Linked DNA regions of Arabidopsis thaliana. The protein of the gene in region 3 interacts with the protein of the main gene of each other region in a pairwise test. Each region holds a gene or a part of one and is shown on either strand. Other genes may lie near its edges. The genes, in order: AT1G31990, ATBET12, AMT2 and PFA-DSP5.

What was found.
Region 1: the proteins of AMT2 (region 3) and AT1G31990 interact in a protein complementation assay, tested with the Arabidopsis thaliana proteins (one large-scale study listed by BioGRID).
Region 2: the proteins of AMT2 (region 3) and ATBET12 interact in a protein complementation assay, tested with the Arabidopsis thaliana proteins (one large-scale study listed by BioGRID).
Region 4: the proteins of AMT2 (region 3) and PFA-DSP5 interact in a protein complementation assay, tested with the Arabidopsis thaliana proteins (one large-scale study listed by BioGRID).

Annotation. Positions count from the first base shown.
Region 1 is NC_003070.9:11,484,510-11,491,467, forward strand, and holds AT1G31990 (uncharacterized protein), read left to right. Parts: upstream 1-3,492; 5' UTR 3,493-3,695; coding exon 3,696-4,673; 3' UTR 4,674-4,809; downstream 4,810-6,958.
Region 2 is NC_003075.7:8,307,373-8,315,210, forward strand, and holds ATBET12 (Target SNARE coiled-coil domain protein), read left to right. Parts: upstream 1-2,946; 5' UTR 2,947-3,109; coding exon 3,110-3,123; intron 3,124-3,426; coding exon 3,427-3,577; intron 3,578-4,042; coding exon 4,043-4,099; intron 4,100-4,187; coding exon 4,188-4,247; intron 4,248-4,347; coding exon 4,348-4,433; intron 4,434-4,541; coding exon 4,542-4,566; 3' UTR 4,567-5,012; downstream 5,013-7,838. Other genes in the region: HCD1 (3-hydroxyacyl-CoA dehydratase 1), read right to left, coding at 1-290; AT4G14450 (uncharacterized protein), read left to right, coding at 2,147-2,524. UniProt on the Arabidopsis thaliana protein: Required for vesicular transport from the ER to the Golgi complex. Functions as a SNARE associated with ER-derived vesicles.
Region 3 is NC_003071.7:16,037,843-16,046,551, reverse strand, and holds AMT2 (ammonium transporter 2), read left to right. Parts: upstream 1-4,030; 5' UTR 4,031-4,260; coding exon 4,261-4,572; exon of another isoform or gene 4,573-4,651; coding exon 4,652-4,942; intron 4,943-5,750; coding exon 5,751-6,036; intron 6,037-6,174; coding exon 6,175-6,278; intron 6,279-6,445; coding exon 6,446-6,880; 3' UTR 6,881-7,122; downstream 7,123-8,709. Other genes in the region: AT2G38300 (myb-like HTH transcriptional regulator family protein), read left to right, coding at 873-1,107, 1,259-1,335, 1,459-1,495, 1,583-1,694, 1,816-2,377; FAC1 (AMP deaminase, putative / myoadenylate deaminase), read left to right, coding at 7,759-8,113, 8,221-8,411, 8,496-8,661. UniProt on the Arabidopsis thaliana protein: High affinity ammonium transporter that may play an important role in moving ammonium between the apoplast and symplast of cells throughout the plant. Does not transport methylammonium.
Region 4 is NC_003076.8:5,378,801-5,386,302, forward strand, and holds PFA-DSP5 (Phosphotyrosine protein phosphatases superfamily protein), read right to left. Parts: upstream 4,140-7,502; 5' UTR 3,819-4,139; coding exon 3,670-3,818; intron 3,408-3,669; coding exon 3,314-3,407; intron 3,087-3,313; coding exon 3,029-3,086; intron 2,945-3,028; coding exon 2,901-2,944; intron 2,804-2,900; coding exon 2,534-2,803; 3' UTR 2,269-2,533; downstream 1-2,268. Other genes in the region: AT5G16470 (zinc finger (C2H2 type) family protein), read left to right, coding at 716-1,030; AT5G16486 (RNA-directed DNA polymerase (reverse transcriptase)-related family protein), read right to left, coding at 4,797-5,426; RIC4 (ROP-interactive CRIB motif-containing protein 4), read right to left, coding at 5,668-5,882, 6,059-6,187, 6,288-6,405. UniProt on the Arabidopsis thaliana protein: Cleaves the beta-phosphate at the 5-position of soluble inositol pyrophosphates. Has highest activity on 5-diphosphoinositol 1,2,3,4,6-pentakisphosphate (5-InsP(7)). Possesses low phosphotyrosine phosphatase activity in vitro.

The DNA.
Region 1 (6,958 bases), on a different chromosome or scaffold from region 3:
AAAACAGAAATAAAAGGGAAAACGAGACTTAGTCATATGACTAAATCAGTCTTCCCTGTACTTTTGGGTTGCGCCCTCTCCTTCTTCATCTTTATCTTTAGTACGCTCAGCTCCATGCCTAATTCCTTTAAGTGTAAGGCCTCCTCCTTCTTTCATTGTTGCATCAATAGTATAATAATATAATATAGATCCATCAGATTGAACTATCCCTAAATGATCACTATTACATTGTATCTTGATATAATTTATATATATATTTATATAAATACTTATTGTACTCCTCCATGAAAAAATTCCAGAATCTGCAACACCAGAATTCTTGCCAATAATATCATTAAGATAAATAGTCTGATTCGAACCGGTGTACTTCAGCCGATATCCTTTAGAATCATCTGCTGGATCCTCTATATTAATCTTCGAATACGAATCGGTAGTACTGAGAGAATTCGAACAAGAATTCGAACGCATCCCAACCAGGTGTCGATCCCTAATTAGTATCCAAAATATGAACTCATCACGGTATAAGGAAGCAAGACACGTACTCGCTTTATTATTATTTTTCATTCATGCTAATTTTCTTACTTTTATATGTGCCACAAATAGATACGGACCATCTCTTCCGATTTACTAATATGACTCTGTGAGTTACATAGATAAGTTGGGATAAGTAGGGAGCGTGCGTTGGTTCACTCCGAAAACATATCGAGTGGATCAACAAAATCCCTTTGGCAAACTGTTACTCTTATTTTGGCGTCAAGCTGGTAAGGTGTGCCTTGTACGCCCATATATGCTAACATTTCCTCCCGGTTTTCATTAATCACATTGTTGTGGAATTCCACTCTCCACTTCCCTCAACACAAAGAGTGGAGAGCAACTATTGGAAATGATAGTTTGCCAATAATACCGCGATGTTTGACGTTGCTTCGTCCGGATGATTCCCAAACAAGGCGTCGAAGCAGCTTCCCTTCCCAAGGAACGGTCATTCCACAACCAAACCAAACTTATAATTTATATTTATTTATTATTATTTTTGTTAATTATATTTATGAAAATGACCCAACTTCCAAATTATGTTTATTTAAAATAATCCAACTTACAAATAATACTCTATATAGAATGACCACGAATAATTTTTTTTTTATTCTTTCTATAATATAATATTCTATATAGAAAGACCCAACTCACAAATTATTTTTATTAAAAATGACCCGACTTACAAATTATTACAATGAAAAAAGACCCATAGCCATAGGTTGGTTTACTCTCGAAAGACTGTCGACTTTTTTAACTCAGCCTCGCCGGGAGACAAAAGTATTAAAAACTGTAATTGACTTTTCAAATGCTGGTTTCTCCATTTAATATAAAGTATAACCTCAATAAATAATAAAGTATAACTTTCTAATTTTGATATTTATTAATATATGAATATAACAGTTTACATCGATTGAATTAATTTGATAAATAATATTTTTAATTTTTTTTTGCTAACTATCATATTGATGCATTTCTCTAAATCTTGAGTAAATGATTCATTCATCCATAAAATGTTAGTTATAAACAATTTACACCAATTGATTTTATTTGATAAATAATATTTTTGGTGCTTTTTCTAATTATCATTTTAATGTATTTTTTTAACTCTCGAGTAAACGATTCATTCTAAATTTTTCAGTTACATTGTTTAAAACTTATTTACAATTACTTACATTTTTAAAAAAATTGTTACGTTTAAAGTATTTTTAAACAAACAAAAACGTAGTATTGATTTAGTATAATTAAATATTAAATTCACTAATATTCATTGTCACTAATCATATATATATATATATATATTAAAATATGAAAACATGAAATAAATTCTTGTCATATTATTGAAGTTTTATACTTTAATTTATTTCTTTAAAATTTCATTGCTTTTATGTTTATACATAAATTTATACGACTTATACAACTAAATTTAAATAAGTTTATTTATATTTGAGTTTAATATACTTTGTACCTAATTAAATTAGAATTATTTAATTAATAAGTTAAAACATGTCAAATTTTTATATAAGAAAAAATTCATGCATGATTTTAAATTTTTAAATAAATTAAATTGTGTTGATTTTTTTAAAAAGTCTCTTTTATAACTAAAAAGAAAAACTCTCTCTAGCACTAATATTGAGGCAATAATCCTAATAGTTTTCTCCAACGCTGGTGGAGCTTGGGCTCGCCGGCGTCAGAATTTCTCTCCTCCTATTTGTTCACTTTACAAACTTTTGTTTTTTCTTTTTATCTTCACTTTAATTTTCATATTCATCAAACATTTCCCTCTTTCGCCTTTTCCTTCTTGAAAGCTTCAGAAAGTTATGACAGAGATCGAAGTTGGCATCCGGCGAACTCTCTTCCTCTCAATCTGCTCACGTGTATGCTATCAAAAGCGGTTTGCATCCATACGCCGGCTATCTTTCAAATCTGAGATGGCCACTCTTCGGGACGGAAAGATGCTTCCCCGTCGTGTTTAGAAAATATCTTGATAAGGCGATGTCTAGTATCTAGTCCTAAACGTTTGGATATCTATTCAATTCCGGATAGATCCATTTGATTCTGAATATTGTGGGTAAATGAGTTTAGGATGCATCAGTATATTTTAGAATTTTAGTTTGCTTTTAGATATTTTCAGTTTAGTTTTTTCCTTTTGGGTATCCAAAATAGTGATTCTTTTTTTTTTTAAATGGTTAAATTTGAAGAAAATCTGGTTAATGTTTTGACGATATAACTAAAAGCTTGGGGATATTTTGAGTATTTTGACTATTTTAGTCTAAAATAATTGATATCTTTAGGTTTTCATTTAAAATTTTGGTTAATTGGGTTATATCAATTGCAATTATAATTGATATTTTGGATATATAATAATATTTATCGTATTTTGGGCCGTGTTCGGTTCTGGTTCTAAAATCTGTTTTGATATTTTGTCAATCAAGTTTGATTAGATTTCTCTTTTTCGGTTCATTTTAGTTTGGTTTTTTGGTTTTAGTTTTTTTATTCATGCCTAGCGGTATCATTGACAAGCAAAATATCACTTCCAATAGTTGCTATCCACTATTTGCTTCTAGGGAAGTGGAGAGTGGTTTACCACAAAAATCTTTTCTGCCAAAAATTCTTAACCTTGACAGAATGGTAGTGTATTTGCTTACATACTCTTACCAGGTTGGTGCCAAAAGAAGAGTAACGTCTAACCAAAGTTATTTTTCTGCTTCACTCGATACATTGTCTGAGGGAACCAACTTACAAATTGTGTTAGTTTAACTTTGATGCAAACAAAAAAAAAAAAGAAAAAAACGAATCAAATTTTGTTTGTTAAAACTAACCCAACTTATAAATTAGATTTATAAAATGATTCAACTGACGAATAATATACTATGAAAGAAAGACACAACTCATAAATTACTCTAATTAAGAATGACCCAACTAACAATATTTATACGTTGGTTTACGCCAAATTGTAATACAATCGCTGCTCTCGGCAATAAGTATCTGGTGCATGCTTCTGTAAACCGCTTCTTCTCTCTGAACGACAAAGAAGGCGATTACCCAACAAAGCACCCTTTCGTTAATTACTTTCTGGCCGGCGTCGTCTCCGGCGTCGGCCATACGTCCTTTCTCTTTTGTTTGCAGTTTATTTATTCAAACATCTTCTTCAGTCCAAATTAATGATGGGGGTCTCGAGATTGATGATGAGAAGAGATGGGTTTCACCTACACTTAAATCCACGGTGCCTGTCTCAAATCTATTTCCCTGACTCGTTATTGAGTCATTCTACCCACCACCATATAAATTTGGTTTCGATTTCACAGAGTCATGTTGGAAAGGCACATCCCTTGAAGATGGACCAAATGCCTCGTCGGTATCGCAACCGTCGAAAAACACTCCGCCTTGCTACAAATACTACTCTCTCTTCCATAATTATGCGATTTTGTTGGCTCCTCGTAGCCATCTATCTCTCTTGTAGAGCGTTTTTCCGACGTCCACTACTGTGTTATTGTCGGCGTTCCGTCTCCGATTGCGTTCCATCTTCTTCTTGTAACCAATTAGTGATCATTGGTCCACAAATGAAGTGGCGTTCTCGGCAGTTGTCATTTTCCTCCGCCAAATGGTACGGAGATGTAATTTGGATATTTGATCCTGGTATCATTGGGGCTCAGATTGACAATGAAGGCGACTTGAAGAAGTGTTTCATACAGACACTGTTTCATAGCACCGGTTCGAGACAATCCATAAGGATATGGTGGAGAGAGATCATGTTGTCTTTGATTCTACGAATATACCTCGACAAATTTTTGCCTTGGATATCATTATCGATCAAGGAAGTTGGGGAGTCATCAGTCATTAACTTCAGCCTTTGGGGATGTCTACATGGAACGAGATTTAGAAGATGGTACTCACCATTTCAAAAGTTATCAGCATTGGCTATAACCAAGAAAGATGTCATCTCCTCTAGTTGGAGATGTTTTAATGGGATGCGATGTAACAGATGGATCGCAACCAATAATCGTTTTAAAGTTTATTGGAGTTTCGTCAAAATGATGATAGCCAAACACAACGATCATGTAGGATTAAGGAAGAAGACGAATAAGGAAGATAGTGGATTTGATAATTTATTAGCGTGTAAGGCTTATCAAAGAAAGTAGCGTTTAATTCACTTGTTCGATTGTATTTTCTTCTTAAATTTTAATCATTTCTTGGTTGTATGTGTAATGTCTGAGGAATAATTATGTAATCTCTGTTTCAATTTTAGTGAAGTAAAGCAAGATGTTAAAACAAAAAAAAAGACCCTCGCATGAAGACAAAAGTATTATAAATCTATTGATTTTTTTTTTACATTGTCAATATATTACTGGCCCTCTAAAGTCGTTTCGCTATGTAATTATATTTTACATCTACAATACTAATTAATAATTTTGTTTTGTTTTGTTATTTTTTGTAGAATTATAAAGAGGTCTTCAATATAGATCTGTACATCCTATCAGAACAAAGACCAAAATATATATATATATTTTTTCTTGGGCAAAAAGTTGTTTTCATTCCATTAGGTTAACACCCAAATACAAAGATAATAGGATGATAAGATCCCATAGATTGAAGTACAACAATAAGGGACAGACCCCAAAGCTACAATAAGAAGGATAGAAAAATACATAAGGTTAATCAACAAGAAATTGACCCCAAAGCTACAATAAGAAGGATAGAAAAATACATAAGGTTAATCAACAAGAAGTCTTTGAGAGCTTTGGGTCAAAAGCAAACATGCTTTATGGAACCTGTGAGATCAAAGTTTGTCGATAATTCGAAACAACGATTTAGATTGTTTCTTTTTAATTGTTATTTGAACCAACAATTTAGATATTTTATCAATTAAACTATTGATATTTAATTGGATAATAATTTTGGCCAATTTCGATCTGGTTTTTGTTCGGTATTCAAAATTTGCAAACTATAATAAAATGCGGCAAAGTCATAGATATTGTAAATATCTCATATGGGGAAAGAACTATATATAATTTTTGTGAAAATGAGTTGATAAAAGATTGAAACATTTAAAAGAAAAACTTATAGTTTCATCTCCCTTGAATTGACTATTATTGTGTTGATTATGGCTTTGAATGGTTGTGTAGTATGTTGCGGATCAGAATAAAATCGGATTACGTACTTAATTCACTATTTACCACTGCAGACCAGTATATACTATTAAGACTAAAGATCTTCATACTATAGTAAATATTCTATAAATTAATAACCTCTATAAAGAAAGTTTTCTAAAAATGACAAAAATCGATAAATTAATAGATAATCATAAATTTATAATCGTATAAACTTATCCATATATGGAACCTAACAATTTAGTGAGATATGACTTTGTTTTTCTTAAAATCATATATATGAAAATTGACCAACTCTCTCCGTATAAGTAACACATCATCACACCAGTGAGTACCACATGTCATTTTAAATTAATACAATTAAAAATTAATAAAACTTAGTGATTAAAAATAAACAGTCTCACATTGCATTAAATCATCCATCAATCCCACTCTTAACTAAATATCTTCAGAATAAAAGAAAAATACAAAATCATGTTAATGTATCACACTACTTTCATTCTACTTTTTTATTTTGCTATTTTTAAATAGTCATTATTCGATAATAACTAGAAGTTTTTCTTTTATTGCAGCTTAACTGTTTGATACTTCGCATTTCTTAGTTTGATAATTTTAATTTAGTATTTTCTTATTATAACATTTTTTTGTCTACATGATATGACTTTTTTGTGCCTTATGATAAATTGGTAATATTAACAATGACGTGCACGTTTTTTCAAGTAATGGTGTTTTGAGACGTTAGATTTACCAATGAATTTAATACACGATACTATTTCCAATATGGCTATATACAAATGCAAAAAAAGATATCTAAAAGTGTTTTCTTAAAGGACTCTTTAATTTTTGCTTTCTTTTTTCTCTTTGATATGAAAACTTTTGAGAATAAGTAGTTAGTTATACATTTTTTATTCAAATGATGTCAATCTAATATGCAGCCATGAGTCTATCATAATATGACTGGAGTACTAGATTAGAAGAGAATACATAGAATAAATAACTGTTTGTTTAGGATCAAGTTAGGCAAGTTTCAAATTACAAAAGTAACATAATTGCATATCATTTTATCATATATTATTGATATAAGTATTTCATAATAGTTTAAAAATGATTAGAATCTTGGGTATATAGATAAGAAGATTTATACATGAAAAACGTATAATTGATTTTTGAATTAAAGGTGAATCTAACTATAAAAACATAATTACATAAAATAAATATAAATTTATTAACTACATAATAACATACACAAAAATGAACATAATCTAGCAATAAAAATAGTTAAACATAAAAAAAAAAACTGTTTTTTCAGATAGTTT
Region 2 (7,838 bases), on a different chromosome or scaffold from region 3:
GGCATTGGAAGATCGAGGAGGGCGGCTAACACCGGTTTAAAGGATTTGACCATTTGGTGCATCCGTTTTATAGCACCGTGTCCAGCGGATTGAGCCCACGCGAGGTCAAAGCCATTGGAGAAGAACTTTCCGTGACCGGTAGTGATGAGGACGGATCCTTTTGTGGATTGAGACTTTGCTTGTTCAAGAAGCGAGAGAACAGAGGCGATCGTGTCGGGGTGGAATCTGTGCTCGTCTTCGCCGGTTAGGGTTAGGAGAAAGAGATCGCCGCGCTTCTCTAACGTACACATGGTGCGTACGTTAAGGACTTACTGATTTAGGATGGTACAAGAATAAGGAAAGAGTTAGTAGAAAACTGTGATATAGAAGTGAGTGTTGAGTAATTAATAGAAGGGAACCCAACTGTATATTTATTAGACGTGCTTTGCCACCGAAGTCTTTAAATTGGGTAATCTTCCCAACCATTTTGGTGTCAATGTTATTAAATGCAGACGAGACAAATGTGTATGAATGAATGTGTGACTTTCTTGCTGAAAATGATAATTGTAACTGTTTGTCCTTGGACGTAATTACCATTTTGTTCTTTCGCAGCTATTGGCTAAATCAATTTTGGTTTCCTTGTCTCCACTTGATTAATATTAACAACCTTTTTTTAGTGCTTACACACTTACAACTGTTCGTATGATTTTTTAGATATCTTGTCATGGCTTTTGAATCTATGAACTTTATTTTTGAAGCATGATTGATTGAGATCTCTGCTTTAGCATTACTCATGGACACATTCCATAAGAGACCGACATGAGTAGTTAAATTAGTTCACTAACTCTTTAAGTTGTGCAAACAACATTAGTTAGGTTAATATTAGTCCGCCAACTCTTTAATTTATTAAATACACAAGCTACATAGAAAAGAACAGTGTCTTTAGATCCATACTTGACCAGCCGGTCTAACCGATAAAACTGTTAACTAGACATATAACAATCATTATTTTACAAGATCCTATAATTCAAATACATATTCAAATATTTATTTAATATGCAAAGATTTTTATTTTATACCGAATAAATACTAAGATTTATCTTGTTTATTGACTTTTATTTTTAAAAAATTTTATACCGTATTTATGTCCGATCAGAGCCGTCCATGAACGCAATAGGACCAAATTTATGCTTGCGGCCTCAATTACTACAAATAAAATATTGACCTAATTTTTTTATAACTTTCAGTAAAAACGTTGATTATTTGATTCTTAGATACCTATGGTCGTCAAAAGTTTGAGTCCATCTACCTTCATTTACCTTGTTATTTTTTCATTTTCACTCATTAAAATAGGTCTAAATTTTGTTCTTTGCTTGCAATCTATTAAATACTAGAGACGGCTCTGTGTTCGATTAATGACACCACGATGGGACTTATAATACAAATCAGTATACTCATATATTACAAGATCATGTTAACTTTCTTACTATTTATATTTTGGTTAGCAACATGCAATATGCGGGTTTGAATAAGGCCATAAGGGTGATGACACACTGACAACACTAACACAAACCATTGGATTACATTTTTTTGTTCGTGTAGAAGTTAATCAGGCGGCTAGTTGACTTGACTTGGCCTGAAAAATGCAAAAACCTCACATATTTAAGCACATCGTGACATGGTCCGATTTTTGCTTTCTTTTGTTTTGTGGCTTAGATTGTAAAGCTCTGTCCGCACTAGACTCAACTTACATATTCATATTCATATTCACCTCTGGTCCATATATATTATAAAAGTCCAATAGAACATGTTCACGAGAATCTGTATAGGTAAACCTCATCCACCATTTAACATTTCATGAACATGTTTGACTTCCATTAACAAGATCGATGTCTTTGTAATTTAATATTAAAAAGAACTTTAACATAAAAACAAGCATGGAAAATTCAAAAAGAATTGGTCAAAGAGTATTGCCAAAACAAAAATGTAAAGAAACGGGAAAAGGGAAGATAAAGCAGCTAATTTTCTTTCTCCAACTCTGACCAATGACCATATCCAAGCGTGTATGTAATGTACCTAGTCAACATGTTACAAGTCGTGGCCCTCCTCACCTTATTATATATGTCATCTACATAAACATCAGACATCACACACCAACATCATTATTATGTTCTTTGATACAAAAGTACTCAATTATCCTACAATTCACAAATCTATCTCCATGGCGTCCACGATGCAAAGAACAAGCAGCTCCGCGGCCAGTAACGAGAGGCAACTTAGCCAGCTACAGAGACGAGCTCCGTCTTTAATGATCAAACCAACGTCTTTTAGTAACTGGAACGTGGCGATCCCTCTCCTTTCACCGCTCGCTCCTTCTCTAACATCATCCTTCGACCAATCACATGTTCCTCCGCCGCAGAACAAGACTGAGATACCAGTGGAAGAAGAGGTGAAGAAGACACCAGTTTTCAAGAAATGGCAACATCCCGCGTCGCCGTTCTGCTACGAGCCAACAACGTTTGTCCCACCGTTCATCCAGGTTTAGAACGGTTCATCAAAATTTTGTAGATTTGATGACTCAGCTACCAGCCCCGTGTGAATTTTGTTCCTGTGATATTACACGCGGTTAACTATTTTTCACGTTTTTGTATCAGTTTTATCCTCTAAGAGATAATATTATTCACTAACAAAGTATTAATTCAAGTTCTAAATGGGTAAAAAAAAATGCATAAAACACATGAAACAAAATTATGGGAAAAACATGGAGAAAATAGTTGCATGAATTCTTTAAATAAATTGTCAAATTAACCCATCATACATCTAGGGTTGGACTTTTCTTTAAAGTTCATTTCTTCAAAGTGTTCACTTTTAACAAATAAAAAAACTAACTTCATGGATTCAATATGGGCCGAACTAAAGCCCAGTAAGCCCAATTCAATTTAATTCTATTTTCTTCTTCTTCTTCTAGGGACTTGTAGTACAGTAAGAACTTTCGTACGTTTCTCGCAAACAAAACACGAAAACTTACGCTTCTGGAATTGAATCCAAATCGAGAATTTCCTTTACAATGCTCTAAATTCGTCTGTTATGTTGAATCCTTCGTAAGAGAGTAGAATCGAAGACGAATCAAATGAACTTTCGAAGGTTTGATCTATTGATCTCTTCCTCTGCATTCGAATCCTGTTTTTATGTAGATTCATCAATGTTTAACAAATGATATTGATTCTGCTCTCGATCGAATTTGATCTAGATCTCTTCACAATCTCCAGATTCACTCTTTCTGAAATCTTAGTTTTTTGAATCACCGACATTCGAATTCCTGATTCTGAGTCATTGACCTAATTCTAGAGTTCTAATTACAGTTTTCCAGATTTTGAATTGAGTGTATCCAACTAGAATTGGAGAAAATTGGATCTGATTAAGAACCAATGGTTTTGATTTCTGTAGGGAGAATCGTGCTTCGAGAACGTCTCTCTTTGATGGCCTTGATGGACTTGAAGAAGGTCGCTTGAGAGCTTCTTCTTCGTATGCTCATGACGAACGTGATAATGATGAAGCTTTGGAAAATCTTCAGGACAGAGTTTCGTTTCTCAAGAGAGTATGTTTCTTTCATCTATATAACTAAAGAATCAAAATATCAACACAAGCATAAACATTAGGATTAAGAATTGTGATTCTTTATTGTGAAATGGATGGTGCTACTGATCCTTATTGTTTGAGAAAGAACAGTCCCTTAAGCACTGCTAAGTCGAGACCCTAAATGTATCTTTCGAGCATCGAACGATGATCTAATGCTTTCGAAAAGTCTAGATATAAAGAAATTGAACTTAGTTTTTAGTTCCTAGATATGTATTGAAATTGTAGATTAAGAACATTCTCTCCAGCATTGCTATCACTAGACCCTGTATAAGTCTTTCGGACTCAACGACAAGGATCGAGCTATGATGTAATGCCTTAGAAAAGTCTAGTTATGAAAACAATGCCTTTTTTGTTTTCACTCTTGTCAAATCTAGTTTGCAATAACGCTTGCCTGAGATGTAAGTTGGTAATAATATCTTATCAGGTGACTGGAGACATACATGAAGAAGTTGAGAATCATAACCGCTTGCTTGACAAAGTGGTAAGCTGAAAGTTTGATTTCATCTGTTTCAGTTTGTAGATCTCTATCACATGCTTTTCTTCTAAGCTATTTGTTGTTGTATCTCTAGGGGAACAAAATGGACTCCGCGAGGGGGATAATGTCGGGAACGATCAACCGCTTCAAGTTGGTATGTAAATAAGATTTCGTACCTTTTATATATGCATCACCCCTTTTGTTTTTCGCTATCAAAACTTATATCTGAATAAAACTCGATTTTAACACGACAGGTCTTTGAGAAGAAGTCTAATCGAAAAAGTTGCAAACTCATAGCTTATTTTGTGCTCCTGTTCTTGATCATGTATTACCTTATTAGGTAAAATACACTTCTTCTTATAGTTATCAAAACACTTGACTTTTCTTAGGGACTGGTTCAAGTCCTTGTTCTTTGACTCGAACACTGACAATCTTTCGGATTTTGCAGGCTATTAAACTACATCAAAGGGTAAATTTGGATACAAGAAGAAAGTAGAGTGTTAAATGAATAGTTTCGTTTGGGACTTCCATTTTTGGATTTCTCCTGATGAATGAATGATTCAGACATAGTAAACAAGTCAAGGGACCCTATTGAAACCCTATTGAAACCCTATTGAAACAAGACAAAGAAAGAGATTGTGAAGAGACTAGTGAACCAACCGAAAGAAAAAATGTTTGATAGAGACTTGTTTGTCACAAGCAAAATCATCTCATGTCATTTCATGTAATGTAGCAAAAGCTTCTTTATCATTTGTCAACTATTTGATCTTGGGTTCATGTTAGCAGTTTTGTCTACAAAAAGCTTAATTGATTGATTGATAAGCTTAATTATTAGCTTTCTGTGAAAAAAAGTTTAGCACTTTGTAATAAAAACAAGATAACTTGGCGTCTTGTTTCCAAAAATTTCCAATTTTCAGAATTTTAAGGCGCAAATACCGTCCTGTATATTGACATTTTGCTAAAGATCCAAATACGTAACAACATGAGAAATATCATTTTTGAACGACTCGCAACAATTCCACAAGTTGACAGGACACTACTATGCAGAAGAGTTTGATTTTTTTTCCACTTTAGGTAACAAGTTGACAATAATCGACAAGTTCATTTTTGGTTTGGTAATAGACAACAAGTTGACATGTACATTTCCAAATGGTTCGGTTTCTAGGTCAAATCATCTTAACAATTATGTAAACTATAGTCTTAAATGTTGAATTTACGAGTGAATAACAGGTTGCTATGCTAAATAGTAAATTTCTTGAAACTACTGTTTAGATAAATAGTCAAATAACCATGAGTTTTAATATAGCTACTAGAGGATAACATTTGAGTTCTGGCACAATATATAGAAAAAAAGTAAAAAAAAAAAAATGTTACCTTATTAAATCGGGAGTAGTTTTTCAATTTCTTCTGATCTTTTAGTATATGCTAAAATACCATGTTAGTAAATATGAATGTGATTTTTGTAAAATAAATATATTATAACACAACAACAGATGTTATGCTACATATATTAAACAGGGTGCTAGATTATAAACAAAAGTGTTTTGGATTCACATGAAAAATATGTGTAATTATTTGAAGAAGTTAGATATATAGATCATTCAAAAAATAGTAAGCTACATGGTTATCTAATATACTGTTGGTAGTGAATCCATCAACCTAATCGTGACATATATACAATGTACAATCGAAATCGTTTCTAAGAAAGCCGACGAAATACTCAGCCTTTAGAAAGACTAGTATACGACATGTCCTACCACCCTAATTACTAAGAGAAAAAGATTCATGATGCTGCGGGAAATGACTTGCTTTCTTCAATTAACTCTTCATTCGAGCTTTGGTTGCTCTAGCTCACAAATTATCGTCGTAGTTAATTGAATATTTACAAGGAGCTGACTAAAAAATTAAATGTACATGCACATACATTGGAGCACGCCCACCATGGCTATGCTAAGCATGCTCTCTTAGCAGAAGTGACACCTCTCAGAAGCTATTGGGCCATAACAGAGTTATGACACGGGTCATATCCGTCAAAAGCACATTGCTTCTAGAATGCGAGGTATGATTGCTAAAAACACGATCGACAAGGAACTCAAGAACATCAACTTGCATATTGAACCTACATACATGCCGTATATAGGCATGTGCGAGGAGTATTAAGGATATAGGACTGGTTAACTTCGGTTATCACTGGTTTGGTTGAATGTGGTTTACTAACCACAATAATCTTATGTATATAAGTTTAATCTCGATTACTTTGTTAGTTAAGTTGGTTGTAACAACACTTTAAGCTGAATAAGAAAAGTTGTTATCTTCTTCTTCGTCTCTCTTCTCCGATCTTGAATCTCCGATGTATCGGATTTTATCATGGTATCAGAGCACAATATATTGATTCCGCGTTTGTTGTGTTCATCGGGAGAGAGTTTCATTTTCGATTTCTTCTTTTGATTCTTTCGTTCGCTTATGCCATTCGTTATTTTTCCGATTCACCGGAGTATTTTTCATTCTGTTTCTTTTACTTCCTTCAATTGACCTTTAGCGTGAGCGAATCTCGTTTTCTATACATCAAATTCGTCTCGCTTTCTTTGTAATTTTTCATTCTTACTCTGAGAATGGGATCTTATGTACCTCCACCTGCGAATCCGGTGACTCGTCCTCCGATCAACAATGGTGATCAAATTCGATATCCAGTAGATCAATATGAGAATCCGTACTATCTTCATAGTGCAGATCACGCTGGATTGATTCTTGTGTCAGATCGACTTACGACAGCTTCAGATTTTCATTCATGGCGTCGATCGATCTTGATGGCTTTGAATGTCAGAAACAAATTGGGATTTATAAACGGTACGATTACTAAACCACCTGAGGATCATAGAGATTTTGGTGCTTGGTCTAGGTGTAATGATATTGTTAGTACTTGGTTGATGAACTCTGTTGATAAGAAGATAGGTCAGAGTTTACTTTACATAGCTACTGTTCAAGGAATTTGGAACAATCTGTTATCAAGATTCAAGCAAGATGATGCACCAAGGATCTTTGATATAGAACAGAAGTTAAGTAAAATAGAGCAGGGATCTATGGATATTTCAACATACTATACAGCTTTGTTAACTCTGTGGGAAGAACACAGAAATTATGTTGAGCTCCCAGTTTGTACATGTGGTCGTTGTGAGTGTGATGCTGCAGTTAAATGGGAACATTTACAACAGAGAAGTAGAGTGACTAAGTTTCTTAAGGAATTGAATGAAGGATTTGATCAAACAAGACGTCATATTTTGATGCTTAAACCTATACCTACTATTAAAGAAGCGTTCAATATGGTAACTCAAGATGAGAGACAAAGGAATGTCAAGCCACTTACTCGTGTTGATAGTGTTGCTTTTCAAAACACTTCTATGATAAATGAAGATGAAAATGCTTATGTTGCAGCATATAACACAGTTAGACCTAATCAGAAGCCGATATGTACTCACTGTGGGAAAGTGGGACATACAATTCAAAAATGTTATAAAGTCCATGGTTATCCACCGGGTATGAAGACAGGCAATACAGGATATACTTACAAGCCTAACCCTCAGCTACATGTGCAACCTAGGATGCCAATGATGCCTCAACCAAGGATGCAGTTTCCAGCTCAGCCTTATACTAATTCGATGCAGAAAGCGAATGTTGTGGCTCAAGTTTATGCAGAGACTGGTGCATATCCTTCTGAAGGTTATTCACAGGCACCTATGATGAATCC
Region 3 (8,709 bases):
CTGAGGTATATTATAATTTTGTGAATTCGATTTTGTATTTAATTATTTTTCCTGGAAACTGCATCACGGTATCAAAAAATTTAAAATTCTTCATTTTTTTGTTTTCTTCTAAACTCAAATAACGTCTCAACTATACTAATATCTTTCTTATTTTCTTATAATTATTAATTTTTTTTTTTTTTTTTTTTTTGTTGTTGTTGTAAATAGTCTTACTTATACTAACTAATTCATTCATAGACTGTTAGTCCCGATACATGAATTTTATCTATATCGATCTTTGTAATCGAAATGTTTGTTTGACGAACTAAGGCAATCTAAGACTACTAAGAATATGCTATATATAGAGCCTAATTTCTATCACACTCATCTTAGCCTTTGGTGAACAATAATATAGAATAAGTGTTACTTGTAATTTGTTGGCATGTTAAGGGTATAAACAACAATTTATCTCATTTATAGGAGTAATAGTTTTCTCCCTCCATGGTTGATATTAATATGCATCCACATATTAAAATATACAACTATTTATATATAGAGCTGTCTATAGTAGAAAAGGGCCGAAATCAATTAGCTGTGAACAGAAAAGAAAACTTTTTAACATATGCAACAAGATTTAGGTGAGGGTTTGTCTACATGTTCCGGGAAGAGAGAGAGAGAGAATCAGAAGTGTATCTTGATCTAGGGTTCACAGACAAAATCTCCATGCTTTGAACTAAGCAGAATTCATCTGGTCTTTTATCTCTTTCATATCAAACCAAAGGATTGATCTATCCATATCGTCCAAAACCTATATCTAGCTAAGCCTAGAACTTCTCTATCGTTTACCACTTTCTTTCTATATTTCTTCTGAATTTGTAACATCAGAAGTAATAATGATTCCAAGTATGGAGGGAGGCGGGAAGACTAACAGAGAAGAAGAGGAGGAGGAAGAGGAAGAAGAAGAAGAAGGTGAAGAGAGTAAGGTTTCAAGCAATAGTACAGTGGAAGAGAGCGACAAGAAGACTAAGGTTAGGCCTTATGTGAGATCTAAAGTCCCTCGACTCCGGTGGACTCCTGATCTTCATCTTCGCTTTGTCCGCGCCGTTGAGAGGCTTGGAGGTCAAGAAAGTACGTCCATAGCTACTAACTTCATCTTTCATCACCTCCTCCACATATATATAAAAGCATAAGCAATTTCTTAGTTATTCTTAGGTTAACTATTTGGTCAAAACCTCATGTGATTTTCTTTTTTTTAATGTGTATGTTTGGTTATGTATAGGAGCAACTCCAAAGTTGGTTCGTCAGATGATGAACATCAAAGGGCTTAGTATTGCTCATGTCAAGAGCCATCTACAGGTATTTGATCTACATACATCTAAAACGTACCTATATATGTGTTGTATTTTCGATTTCGTTTCAAATAATCTCTGAAATTAGAAAAAAAAAGAAATCACTAAATTGTGTATTGGAAAATTTTAGATGTACAGAAGCAAGAAGATAGATGATCAAGGTCAAGGTATTGATTCTTTCTATTTGTGTTCATTAGTTAGTTATCAAGTTATACATGTATAGGCCAATAAAGTGGGGTTTGAATTGTTGGCAGCTATAGCTGGTCACAAACATCTCTTCGAGACTTCCACAGATCGAAATATTTATAAACTAAGTCAGCTACCGATGTTCCGAGGCTATAATCATAACCATGATTCTCCATTCAGGTTGATATAACTTTTTTTTTTGAAAATTTTAGATTTTATGTGTTCCTTAATTTGAATGATATTCCGTTTTAATTATATTTATTCGGAAACTAAATTAATTGTCTTCTTTTGTTTTTGGTAGATATGGAAGTAAAATTTCAAATGCTTCTTTGTGGAACTCTAGCTCTCAAGGAACAGAAAGGAGTTTGATAGACCAAATTAGGCCCGGTTTAATCCGCAACGCGTCGGTTAGCAATAACATCCGTGGTAGTGATTATTGGACTAACAACAAGTCTTTCCAAAACATCTACTCTTCTTCAATTTCTAATCACTTTCCGAAACTACGACACGATCATCACGAACGGACCAATTCAGTCACATTCAACAGCATTCAAGGACACTCAAGAACTTTTCAAAAGTTCCATAACGGTGTTGAGGAGAACACTAATCATTCTTATTGTAGCAAGACAAATGGCAAAAGAGACGCAAGTAGGAGCATTGATCTTGATCTATCTCTTAAGCTAAGACAACCGGAGAAGACAATTTTGGAAGAGACAGAAACAGCAGCAACAACAACGGATCAAACGTTGTCCTTGTCGCTATGTCCAGGGTCGTCTTCGTGGAAAAAGAGCCGACTGATGAAAGATGAAGAGGATCGGACGGTTAAGATTGGTCAGGAGAGTACTCTGGATCTGACTCTATGAATTATATTTAAGAATGAGACAAATTCTAAGTGAGATCTTGAGGTACTTACCGATATCTTAATATTCAGTGTCGTTGTTGTTTATCATTAATCATGTATTTTCTTTATTATTAGAAAGGAAACAAAAATGTTTGATTATATTAACGGTCTTGAGTTTGTTTGATACCGCCAATTTGTATCATCACATATATAAACAAATATTACTAGCCACATCATAATGATTCGATCTTTTGTCTTCTCATAGCAATATACTATATGAAAATTACATATACATATAACAACAAATTTACATCGATTAGAGTATCTCTGCTGGTGAGCTTCATTCATTTGTAGATGAGACTTTTACGTAAATAGTACAAAAATTTTGGTTTCGTATTTATCCGAACAGTACATGGACAATTTTGTAGTTCCAAAACATGTTATAGTTAATAGTAGTGTTTTCAATAATTTCCAAAATCCATCTTCACTCATTTTTCCCTTTTCAGAGACATAGTGAAACAATTTTACACTATGCAAATCCGAAGCCAATTATTTTTGAGGTTTTTACTATATGTGAACAAGATTAATACTTAAACAACAAGACACACCTCGTTCTTTGTAAATATTAAAGAGGTTAAAGATCATAATACAAAAAAAAACATAGAAAAAGTTCACAAATCATCAAATCTTTTGAGTTCATTATTCTATATAAAATTTTATCTCGTGAAATGTTTATTGTATAAGGATGTGATTAGTTGCAAACCAAAAATTAATGTTTAATAGTATTTGATAGGGAACTTATTTCAACTGTGTAAAATTTTCCCGGTAAAATTTTCGTTCAATCAGTCGATTCTAAGAACATGAATCTTATTGAATCTCTAATAATTTATTGTATAATATGGTGGCACCTATACGTCAATACGATAATGACGTCGTTAATAGTAACGTTGAGAGTTGAGACTGTTGTATAATTTTGATTCGACGTGCCAAATACTACGTTCGACCAAGTATCAATTTTGATTTTCCAAAAAGAAAAAACAAGAAACTTAGGATCTCCGTTAGTTTGATTGGATACACTGATACTGTTTCGATATTTAGACAAACAAATGGAATCTTTGCTTCTTAAACATTCGATGCGTGTGTGTACCTGGTCAACTTCTTCAGACTTCATTATCAAACATGGCCGCACGATCAGTTTTATTTTGCTACTGGAGAATTAACTTATCCACCTCAGAATCTAAACTAATTTCTGAAACTATATAAGTGTTTTTTGGGGCTAAAAATAAGATGCATGAAGTGAAAGTATCCTAGTGGTTAAAAAGGGGTGTAAACATAACGTTTAATGTTGTATCCCTTTATATGTACCTCTAATGTCCCTCTTTATTTACTTTTAATGATTTTTAAGACTAAATATCTTCAGTTGAAGTAGGTAATCTTTTTGCCAAATTAGTCTTCGCAATACACGGATCGATTTCCTTATAAGATATTAAATTTAACTCATTCAAAAAATATTAAATTTGCAATGACTTATAAGATAAATAAAAACCAAGGTCCATATCTTATCCCAATTTGTTTTTTTTTTTTGTATACCAAATTTGTCTCCTATATTGTTTTTATATGTTTATATTCTTTCTCCTAGTAATTTACACAAAGAATTTAAGAAGCTTCATTGAAATATCAAGACTAGAATTGAAGAATGAGAAACATATCTATCAAACCTCGAAGACTTTTCTCCATCAAAATGTGCAAACAAAACACCAAACCCAACTTGTGTCTTGTCTATTCTACACACATTATTATAATTAAAGGCTTTCACACCTACACAAAAAAAATTCGTACCATTGACTATAAACATCACAAACCCAACAAAAATTTCATCAACTCCGGGAAAGATAGAATAACAAAATGGCCGGAGCTTACGATCCAAGCTTGCCGGAGGTTCCTGAATGGCTCAACAAAGGAGACAACGCGTGGCAGCTCACGGCAGCGACTCTGGTTGGTCTACAGAGTATGCCAGGTCTTGTTATCCTCTATGCCTCCATCGTCAAGAAGAAATGGGCTGTGAATTCAGCTTTTATGGCTCTTTACGCTTTCGCCGCCGTTCTTCTCTGTTGGGTTCTCCTCTGTTACAAAATGGCTTTTGGAGAAGAGCTTTTGCCGTTTTGGGGCAAAGGTGGTCCAGCTTTCGACCAAGGATACCTTAAGGGACAAGCAAAGGTCTTGAATTTGGTTATGCACACAAAGTGTTCGATAAAATGCCTGAATGAGAATTTGATTTGATATTTTTTTCTTACAGATCCCAAATAGTAATGTGGCGGCGCCGTATTTTCCGATGGCGACGTTGGTGTATTTTCAGTTCACATTCGCGGCGATAACGACGATACTTGTGGCGGGATCTGTGTTGGGGAGGATGAATATTAAAGCATGGATGGCTTTTGTGCCATTGTGGTTGATCTTTAGCTACACAGTTGGAGCTTATAGTATATGGGGAGGTGGGTTTCTGTATCAGTGGGGAGTTATTGATTATTCCGGCGGTTATGTTATTCATCTCTCCTCCGGTGTTGCCGGTTTCGTCGCTGCTTACTGGGTACGTTTATTACATAAAATATTCAAGTTCAGAGTTTCTTTAGTTTGTTAGAGGTTAGTTTATTTAGTTAGGGAAACTATTAAATTCTCAGGCTATTGTTTGATATTTGGGTATTATTACTAGAAATATAATGAAAGATTGAAGAAGATGTTTGTTTGTTGAAAATATTGGAATTAATTAATGTACGGTAGTCGGTAGATGACATAGTCTCAAAAAAAATTCTTAAGAAATAATTCGATGTAGACTGGTCTTTAATTGCCAAGTTTTGTTTTGCTTTCTCTTTCGGTATGATTACGTATTTAAGGTCCATAGTTTATAGATAAGTAGTAAGTTCTATGATTGTTTGGTCCACTAACAAAAGGTTACTAATTTCCAAGTACTAAGATTAATTAAATCAAATCAATTTTGGATTTGACAACACGATCTTGATCTATATTGTATTAGCAAATTAGATAATTTAGTTAGAGGAGAGTAATCGAATAAAGTAACGCTCCAATATTGATCACACTCAACTGAAATATCTATTTTTGCCTAATAGTAAATTCACAAAATAATTGAGGTTGATTCCATTTTTGCATTTTATATCTTATAGATATGTATACACTAATTAATTTGTTTTTCTTGTATTCTGCATTTTGTCGCACATAAGCAAAATGGTAAAAGTCAAGTCAATTCCACTGACGACGACATAATATTCCACATAGTAAATATATAAAATCATGCAAAAGAAAATGAAATTAAATGGTTAGTTAAAAAGCAAACACTAGCTAGTTGAGAAATACGATTTTCTGACATGATGTTATTATAGGTAGGACCAAGGCCTAAGGCTGACAGAGAGAGATTCCCACCGAACAATGTTCTTCTAATGCTTGCTGGAGCTGGACTTTTATGGATGGGATGGTCCGGTTTTAACGGTGGTGCTCCTTACGCGGCCAACTTAACCTCCTCTATCGCCGTGTTAAACACCAACCTCTCGGCCGCCACAAGCCTCCTTGTATGGACTACACTTGATGTCATCTTCTTTGGCAAACCTTCTGTCATCGGAGCAATTCAAGGCATGGTTACTGGCTTAGCCGGCGTCACTCCCGGAGCAGGTTTCAGTCATCTTCTTTTCAAGTTTTTTGTTTACTCTAAGTCTCTAAGTTTATTTATGATTAAGGTTGAATTATGTGGAAACTTATTAATATTGCATTGTTAATTTATTATACTGACAAATAAGATATCTATTGCAGGTTTGATCCAAACATGGGCAGCTATAATAATTGGAGTAGTCTCAGGAACAGCTCCATGGGCCTCTATGATGATCATTCACAAGAAATCCGCTCTCCTTCAAAAGGTAATTTAGATCATAAATCCCATTTTAATTTCATAACCAACAAAAAAAAAAAAAAAATGTTTTACCTTATTAGAAAAACGAAAATGTTTCAATTGTAGAATTAAGGTATTAGTAATAACAAACGAATGATTTGAACTGTAATATTTTGATTGGGTTGAAATAAACAGGTGGATGATACATTAGCGGTGTTTTACACACACGCCGTGGCTGGTTTACTTGGTGGAATAATGACAGGGTTGTTTGCACACCCTGATCTCTGCGTTTTGGTACTTCCTCTCCCAGCGACCAGAGGAGCTTTCTACGGTGGCAATGGCGGCAAACAGCTTTTGAAACAGTTGGCTGGAGCTGCCTTCATTGCCGTCTGGAATGTGGTGTCGACTACTATCATTCTACTCGCTATTAGGGTGTTCATACCATTGAGAATGGCTGAGGAAGAGCTCGGGATTGGAGACGACGCAGCACATGGGGAAGAAGCTTATGCTCTTTGGGGAGATGGAGAGAAGTTTGATGCTACAAGGCATGTGCAACAGTTTGAGAGAGATCAAGAAGCTGCTCATCCTTCTTATGTTCATGGTGCTAGAGGTGTCACCATTGTTCTATGATTTTTCTTCTTCTTTTTCTTATTTATTTTTTGTGTATTGATTTCCTTATGACATTAGAGATGTGAATGAGTTATTTGTGTTCTGTATAGGTGGTAAAACTTCACTTTTCATATTTTTTGGTGTGTATTTGGAGTTAACAACCATTTGTGATTTTGTTGAAATGAAAACATAGAGTTCGTGAACAAATGTACCTTGTAACCATTTTAAATTCAGTTAAAGTAATTTCCTCAAGTCATTTGGCTAATAAGTAATTTCCTTAATCACTTTTTCCTTGGGCCACAAATAAAAAAGAAAAGCATGAGACTGAGACCATGTAATCTGGACTCGAGCTAACATTAGACCCATAGTTCTCTTGATATTTAGTGCCAAAGGCCCAACACCTAGTTTTCTTAAAATGATAGTGTTAACCTTAATTCCCTTATTTCTTAGGGATTTTGATGTGTTAATGTTTAATGAAGAACTTTCTTCCGTTTTATATTTTGTACAATATTTATGAAAATGATTTTTTATTTGAACAAACTAAAAAATATGAAGAGTTTTCACTTTCACGTATAAAAGCAAACATAAAATAAAATAAAAAAATTGGACAGATAAAAACAAAAATTGGTGTCTGAAATAATTGAACACTAATGAAGAAATTATTTGTCTATAAAACTCTGCCCCTATAATTATCAGCACTTTTAGTTTTTAGCCATAAAGGTTTCAACTTTTATCAAAGACCCAGCCTTTTTGCAAGTGGCGTGGTTTCACTCGTTGGGCCTATAAATAACAACTCAACCTCGACCTCCCACCATCGCCACTAAAACGAAATCGTGGTCTTACTCTCTCTTCTGAGTTCTGACCTGAGCACACACACAGAGATTTTGATTGTGTCACTCATGGAACCCAATATTTACCAACTTGCCCTCGCGGCTCTATTCGGAGCTTCCTTCGTTGCTGTTTCTGGGTTTTTCATGCATTTCAAGGCACTGAATCTAGTCCTTGAGCGTGGTAAGGAGCGTAAAGAGAACCCTGATGGAGACGAGCCTCAAAATCCGACCTTGGTGAGGCGGCGGAGCCAAGTTAGAAGGAAGGTTAATGACCAATATGGTCGCAGTCCTGCTTCTCTTCCAGATGCCACTCCTTTTACCGATGGTGGCGGCGGCGGCGGCGGTGATACAGGACGGAGCAACGGTCACGTTTATGTCGATGAAATTCCTCCTGGTCTCCCTAGGCTTCATACGCCATCTGAAGGTATGAGAACCAAACCTGAATTGATCAGATTAGATTGTGGATTATAAAAATTGATCCTTTAATCCTTTGATGATGCTGATAGATAGTTTGTGATTGCTTTTTTTCAGGGAGAGCTTCTGTACATGGAGCTAGTAGTATCAGGAAAACTGGAAGCTTTGTTAGACCAATATCTCCGAAATCCCCTGTTGCTAGTGCTAGTGCTTTTGAGAGTGTGGAAGAATCAGATGATGATGATAATTTGACTAATAGTGAGGGTTTAGATGCTTCCTACTTGCAAGCTAATGGTGACAATGAGATGGTGAGTTTCTTTATTTATCATTACTTTTTCAATCCCTGTTCTGTGATTGAATAGGTGGGTTTACAAGTAAGATGTTTTTTGCAGCCTGCAGATGCTAATGAAGAACAAATATCTATGGCTGCTTCAAGTATGATTCGATCCCATAGTGTGTCTGGTGACTTACATGGAGTTCAGCCTGATCCTATTGCTGCTGACATTCTTCGTAAGGAGCCAGAGCAAGAGACCTTTGTCCGTCTTAATGTTCCTCTTGGTAAGAATGGTCACTTTTTGTTTCGTTCTGTCATCTTGCCTTACTTCT
Region 4 (7,502 bases), on a different chromosome or scaffold from region 3:
ATTAACATATGTTAACATGTTATATCATGTAACATATAAACAAAAATAAAACCCTTAACAAAAAAAAACACATATTAACAAAAATAGTATTTTTTTTTAACTTATAGAGTATAGTTTACAAAGTAAAGTGATATTATTATAATGTTGTTTTCCGTATAATTCATACTGGAAAATAGAGATAATTGATCCAGAAAAATCAAAACCCAAATGGATTAAAATCTTAACTTTTTGCAATAAGATATAATAAGTTTCTAATTTTCTCTTAGAGGTCATTTTTTTTTGTCAAAGCTCTATTAGAGATCATGTACGAAACAAAAAAGTCTAGTCGTGCATGAATGTACAAAATGTACAGTCTATTTATTATTATTTAATTCATACATTTGGTCATAAAATTCTTTACTATTTTTATGTTTGAATTTGCAAAGCGATAAAAAGAATAAAGCAAGTGGATTTGAACGAATATATATTAGGAAAATGGGCGCAAAAGTCTTAATATGCACCGTACTACACTCTATAAATACCTTTTCAGGAAATAGGAAAATATTCCTTTTTTTATTTATTTTAATACTTTTTTTTAACTAAAGATAAATAATCTCGCATCGAAACTCCGTAGCCCCCAAATCGTTCTCTCTCAAATCGCAAAATTAGGGTTAGGGTTTTCAATTCCCCAACCTTGCGAATTTCTCATTTCTCGTAGCCGCCGCAGCAATCAACGATGACAGGCAAAGCAAAGCCAAAGAAGCACACAGCGAAGGAGCTCCAAGCTAAAGCCGATGCAGCGTTGACCAATCGCGGTGGAGGAAAGGCAGGGCTCGCCGATAGAACCGGTAAGGAGAAAGGTGGTCACGCAAAGTACGAGTGTCCTCACTGCAAGATCACTGTACCGGATCTAAAGACGATGCAGATCCATCATGAATCGAAGCATCCAAAGCTGACTTATGAAGAGCCGAGGAATCTTCATGAGGCTTTAGCTGCTCCTGCTGAATCATCTAAGCCTAAGCCTGGAATCAGAGGAAGCCTTAAGAAGTGAAGTGAAGATGGTTTGGGATTGTATCGAATTTCGATTTGAAATTTGTGGTCTTTTTAATGGTGTTTTGATGTGAGAATATAAACTTGCGTTGATGATGCTCTATGTCTTCGTATTTTTATGTTATGATCATATAAAAAAGTAACTGATATTTTCTTATTAAATGGTTTGTTTCTAACTTATTGGTTTCTTTTGATTCTTGTTTCTGGATAATTTTGGTTGTTCTGGATCATGTCAAGCTGCTCGTAAAATCAGCATCTTTGTTTTTGATCAGACATGTTAGCTCATTAAGACAATACAAGGTAGTCTTTTTGGTGATTCTGATGAAGAGTTTTGGTTTTGTTCTTTGAGTCATATGATTGTTCGGGAACTTTACAGGCTTCTGTTAAATCTCTGTCTCTGATTAGGCATGTTTGGTAAGCGTATCTTTTGTTTGAAGCCGTGGGGATTTGAGGAAGAGTGAAAGTTTCTGCAACTCATGTTATAACCACACAAGAGATTATGTACTTTGATTTGGTTGTCTGAAAAGCTTAGAGAAACATGTCGTGTATTCATTGCATAAACTGGCTTTTGTACTTTGAAAGAGTGAAAGTTTCTGCAACTCATCAAACAAGAGATTATGTACTTTGATTTGGTTGTCTGAAAAGCTTAGATGTCGTGTATTCATTGCATAAACTGGCTTTTGCTTTTTAATCTTTCAAGCCTTCAAAGCATCTGGACAAGTTATATTCAGTTTTGTTCCTTTTCTCGTTTTAAAAAGAAAGATTCTAATTCTAATTCCCATTGTCCTTGTTCAGTCAGCTTCATGGTGCACATGTGGTTTTTTCGAATCCAAATCAAAATTAAAATGGACTCGAGTGCAGATTATTTTATCTATGACAACTTGAGTAATCAGAATCAATACTTCATAGCTTTTCGTGTTTGGTTTTGTTAGTGGTTGGAATAAATGTAGTTGAACATCATGTATTTTGATACATATAATTGTGTGTTGTTCAAGAAAATGATAAATATGATTGTCTAAACTCAATTGCTATACTTTGCGTAGGGATTGGTATACATTTCCTTTCCTTAGACTAGTTACGACGAATCATTCTGATTTGATGATGTTTAATTGTTTATAGACGTCGACCTATTATAAGTTTTTAACAAAGGCAGAGGCCCAAAAATCGACTACGTAACATTGACTTGGATATATGGTTTATGGCCCACGAATGAAATAAGCTTAAACAAAGCCCACGGAAAGAAGAAAAGAATTGAATTCAATTGCCTTTACTCAATCATAAATAGGAAAACAAAAGCTCACATCACACATGTTAGTTTCTTATGAACAATTAAGAATCAATCTGTAAATTTCTCTAACCGTAAAAAAAAGATAGAGAGAGACCAAATCAAATCCTCTGTTTTCTCAAGCTTTTTAAAGAACTATCCTATTCTCAAAAAAATCATCATCATCATCACGACAAAATGTAAAGAAACAAAAAAAAATCCGATTTCAAATCTCTTTCTTTATCCTTTGGTGGCTTGAGGTTTTTGCTGTTCTTGAACAACATTCTCTTCTTGATACAGCAACTTTCTTCTCTTGAGACCATACCCATTGTACTGATATATGATGCTGTATAGACATTGCTTCAATCTGAGCACATCGAAATCCTCAATGAACCTTAAATCTCTTTGTCTCCATTTCAAACCCGCACACTTCTGGTATTCCTCGAGAACCGATGACAAGCACCAGTTCTGCACTTTCCTCAAGCATCCCACAAGACAACCTGTCCTATGCTGCAATGAGCCAGAAGAAACGCACCATTGGACTCAAATCACTCTTAACTTAACCTAAAGCTTGTTAAACCGGAAGAGAAGGGTTTGGTTTGGTTACCTTTCCGCGCTTACAGTGGATAAGAATTGGATGATTTCGAACATCTGTTAGCAAAAACAGAAGAATTAATGAGACAGCTAAAAGAGAAAAGCCGACAACACATCAAAGAGTCTCTTCTGGTTCCTTACCAACTAGTACTCTAAGAGCACTCAACACTGTATCCTTTGGCATAGGAGTTGGAGGATCCTATTGGCGTAAAAGTAAAACAATCCAAACTCAGAAATCAAAGAAGCTATAACAGGAACAGAACAGGGTATTTATATGTTTCTTAAAGGTCTTATAAGATTCATCAACTCAAATGCTACAAGCCAACAAGACACTAAAAACAGGGTCAAATGTTCTTGAAGAAGAACTCAAAAAGATTCAATACAATTGCTGTTGTTGAATGAATCATAAAGGTTAGAAAATCATACCGTTTTGCCTTCAATCCCGAACTGGAAAAGCTTAATGTTGTTGGATGCAAGAGACTTGAGATTGTCCTCAGGGTATGGCTCAGGACACAGATAACTGTTTCCAGACAAACCCAACAAACAAAACTCGTTTTTGTAATCAAATCTTTCTGCGTGGGTCAAATTTCAACAACACAAATATATAATTATCCCACATTTTTTTGACATTTAACTAATAAAAGCCATGAAAGTGAAAGTGGTGATTTAAGGAATCTGTCTATCTATAAACAACGACAACGATGCGTTATTAAATAAAAGATTCTTCTTCTTTTTTTAATTTTTAACAAAAGATTCAGAAGAATGAAAGAAGAGAATCTTACATGATGGATCGAAGATTTAGGGTTGATAAGAATCCGAAATTCTCCAGCTCAGGAAACCCAGATCGGTAAATTTCATCTTCTACCATTGAAAAATTCGGCGGCGGAATCAAAACTTCTCCATCGTTATCATCATCCACAATTAAGCCCATCGACGTTTCTATCTCCCTCCTTCTCTCAATTGGGAGACAGAAAGCTACGAGCACCAAAGAGAGACAGAGAGGGAGAGAGAGCAAAATCCCCAAAATCTAGAGAGAGATAGAGATTCGTTGAACAAAAAGAAAAAAAAAAACCTTTAAATGATTAATGGGATAATCATCAAGTGGGGTTTAATTATTTTTTAAAAAGAGACAAAAAGATGACGAAGATTAAGGAGTTTTTTTGTTAAGAGATTTTTTCGGATTTGGAAAAAAATTGTTAAACCTTTGAAAAACCGCCATTAGAGATTGTTCTTGTTGGATCCTCTTCAGGTTTTTAAGGGAATGTTTTGTTTTCGCTGTAATCTCTCACCAGATTATGACACGTTGTTACATCCTTCAACTTTTCGTTGAACCGATTGGGAAATTTCCTATTTTGACTTAAAGAGTCAATTTTTAGAATTTTCTATTAATAGATCAAAGATTCGTTATGATGACCCCACAATATGATTCAACTGTTTCTAAAAGTTAATTTGGATTAACGTATATCAATATTCTTTTCTTTTCTTTTTTTTTTTTTTTTTTTTTTTTTTACTTCATTTATAAAACGATATCGAATACACAGTACTTCTAAAACGAGTAACACCTACGAAACAACAAAGAAAAGTAAAACAGAGCACATGATCAAATAAAGAGACCGAACCAAGTGGCGAGGTACGATAAACCATTGGGGCCAATACGTTGAGCTCGTGAGAGAGGATCAAGATGAGTGCGAATAAGATTCTTTATCTCCATAATCAGTCCAGCAGCAGGTCTCGAAGAAGAAGTGTGCAGACGAGTGTTCCGTTCCCTCCAAAGAGTATAAACCGTAGCTTGGTGGGCTATCCTAAGAATCGTAGTCACATTTTTGTCCCGACTAGGATTCTTAAGCCATCTAACCCCATCCTCAAACAATGGAGGAGGAGAAACATGGGCCCGAGAAGTGAAGTGATTTCAGATTTCTCCTGCAAACACACAGTCAAAGAAGAGATGCTGTCTCGTCTCATCAAAAGCATTGCAAAGGAGGCAGAGAGATGGAACATGAAGTCCCCAGCTTAGAAGTTTGTCACGAGTAGGCAGCCTGTGTCTGATATTTACCCAAGAGATGAAAGCATGCTTGGGAATCCTGCCTTTAAACCAAATTGCCTTATGCCAATCAACCTTTTCCCCAACAGGATTTAAGTGGATCCACGTTGCAGCAGAGGAGAAACCAACAGAAGCCTCACTTCCCCCAACCTTCCACATGAACAGATCATCTTCAGCATCCACTTGAAGGTTCACCACACTAGAAAGAGGGAGACAGTTCTTTAACAGCTGAATAATTGGGTTCCTGCTCCTAGACCCATTTATCCACCAAACCCCATCTCTTAAAGCATCTGCAACTGAAGCATTCCTAGGTAAACCAGAAACTCTAGGTCCCAAGTCACCTGTTAAATGAATAAGCGGTCCCAAATTAGTCCAATTCTCACTCCAAAAATTACAAGTGATCCCCGAACCGACTTTGCAAACCACAAACTCCCGAGCCATTGGACGAAGCTTGCAAATACTCTTCCAAATCCAGCTCCCCGAGTTAATATTCACCATATCCCAGAAGTTCTACTCCCCGAGTTAATATTCACCAGCTCCCCGAGTATATCAATATTCATTTTGTTGATAATGTATGGTACTAATATCATATCTTATGATTAACATACAAAATATTTACATAACGATTATATTTACCGCATAACATAGTTTATATCATAGATCAGATTCACCATATATATATCAATATGTCTAGATTCTTAAACAAAACATCAAATAAAATAAAAATAGAGGGAGTGGATTATAAAGTTGGATGAAGATGAGGGTTAATTTCTTTTTTTGAAGCAGCGGCTGCAAGCAACTCCGGCGGTATGAGATCTTCCCATCCTTTACCAGGACCTGTAGCCGCGGTTAGACCGCTTTCCCAACCGATGTGCGATACATGTTTTACGTTCGTTGGAACTCCTATCTCCATTCCTGATGTTTCGACTTCTTCCTTCTCTTCATCTTTGTCAGCTATAACATTTTTGGAAGAAAAGATAGTACCAACTTATAAATGTTAAAGAGTGAGGACACATGTACTAGGATCTATATGAACCAAAAACATGTAAAAGTGGTTCTAGCAAATGTTAAAATTTGCCAATACGTTTAAATGGTATAATTTCGTAACATACATTAGAGTACAATATTACCAAAGAGTTGAGAAATGGTCTTGAAGCTCTTGAAAATCCGGTTAATACCGATAGAAATCTCCGGTTTAGAAACCGCAAGGAACTTGAATACATTCTTCATGTTATCTTCCTCCTCTTGTTCACGAATCACTTTTGAAAACACATCAAGGTATATATCACAATAGAAGATACATGAGATATTAATTCAATATATATATACATGATATTTAAAAAGAGAGAGGGAATGAACCTTGACGAGAGTGATGATGATGAGGCTTAGAGAGAGGAGACAAAACGGCAACACTTGAGACGGAGATACATCCGATGGAGAAAGGAAGCACCACAAGTCTCTCCATTCTATCTCTCATTTTCTACCAAGCCTTTCCTTTTAAAATACTTCTATTTATATATAAGAGTATGTGTGTATATGTATATATACGATGAAAATGACAACCCACCAAATGTTTTGATGTAATTTGTTGTTGTTTTGTTTGTAATCTTTGTTGGAATATAATTTGGTTGTGGTCGTGAATTATGTGTTTAGCTGACTTTGTTGTGAAGTTACAATGATGTTTACGTGTGTATATGAAGTTGCGGTAGAATAGAAAGTGATAGCTTTCATTTTATATTTTGGGCTCAACTACTGTTTGGTAGACTGTTTTCTTTGTGACGTATAATTTGCACTATATATATATATATATATATTTGATATCAAAAATGTTATAATATGGATAATTAGATATTGATATTTGTATATTGCTATCAATATACTGTATAGAGTATAGGAATTGAGTTTTGTGACTGGCTTAGATTTCGTTTGTTATTACACCAAATGCATATTATATGTGAGTTGTACTAAAAAAACAAAAAAAACTTTTAACATGTCAATTATAGCAGTCGAAAAAGATTATGTCAATCAATATTTTGTAAATTAGTTACGTACTTCATAGTTAAAGTTTAACTCTACTTCTGTGGACTGTGTATTAGTTTTAGTATATGGAGAACAGTTTAATATTCGATGGAGTTCATAATGAATACTCAAAGACTCTATAATGTATGTATAATGATGGCTTAAATGATTAAAATGTACATTAGTTGTTACATCCCCTTGGAATCAAAGCAATCTATATTAATTTTTCTGAACGTCTTCTTTTGCAAAATTTAATCATCAAATGGTTATGATGGCAAGGCCATCTTTTTTCCCCCTCTTCTTTTCTATTTTTTAGTCGTTGCTTGTTCAACCATTTGATACTGTTGTTACTTGTTAGTGGTATTTATCATGAAATCATGGATGAATACATTTTTTTATTTGTTAATTCATGAAACATATAGTTTTTGCAAACTATTAAAAAAGGCTTTGAAAACAAAACGTAAATATTAAGCAAAAAGTGAACCCTAATAAATTTAACTCAAACCCCCCCCCCCCCCCCCCCAAAACGTAAATCTCTCGATTAGATTTTCACCA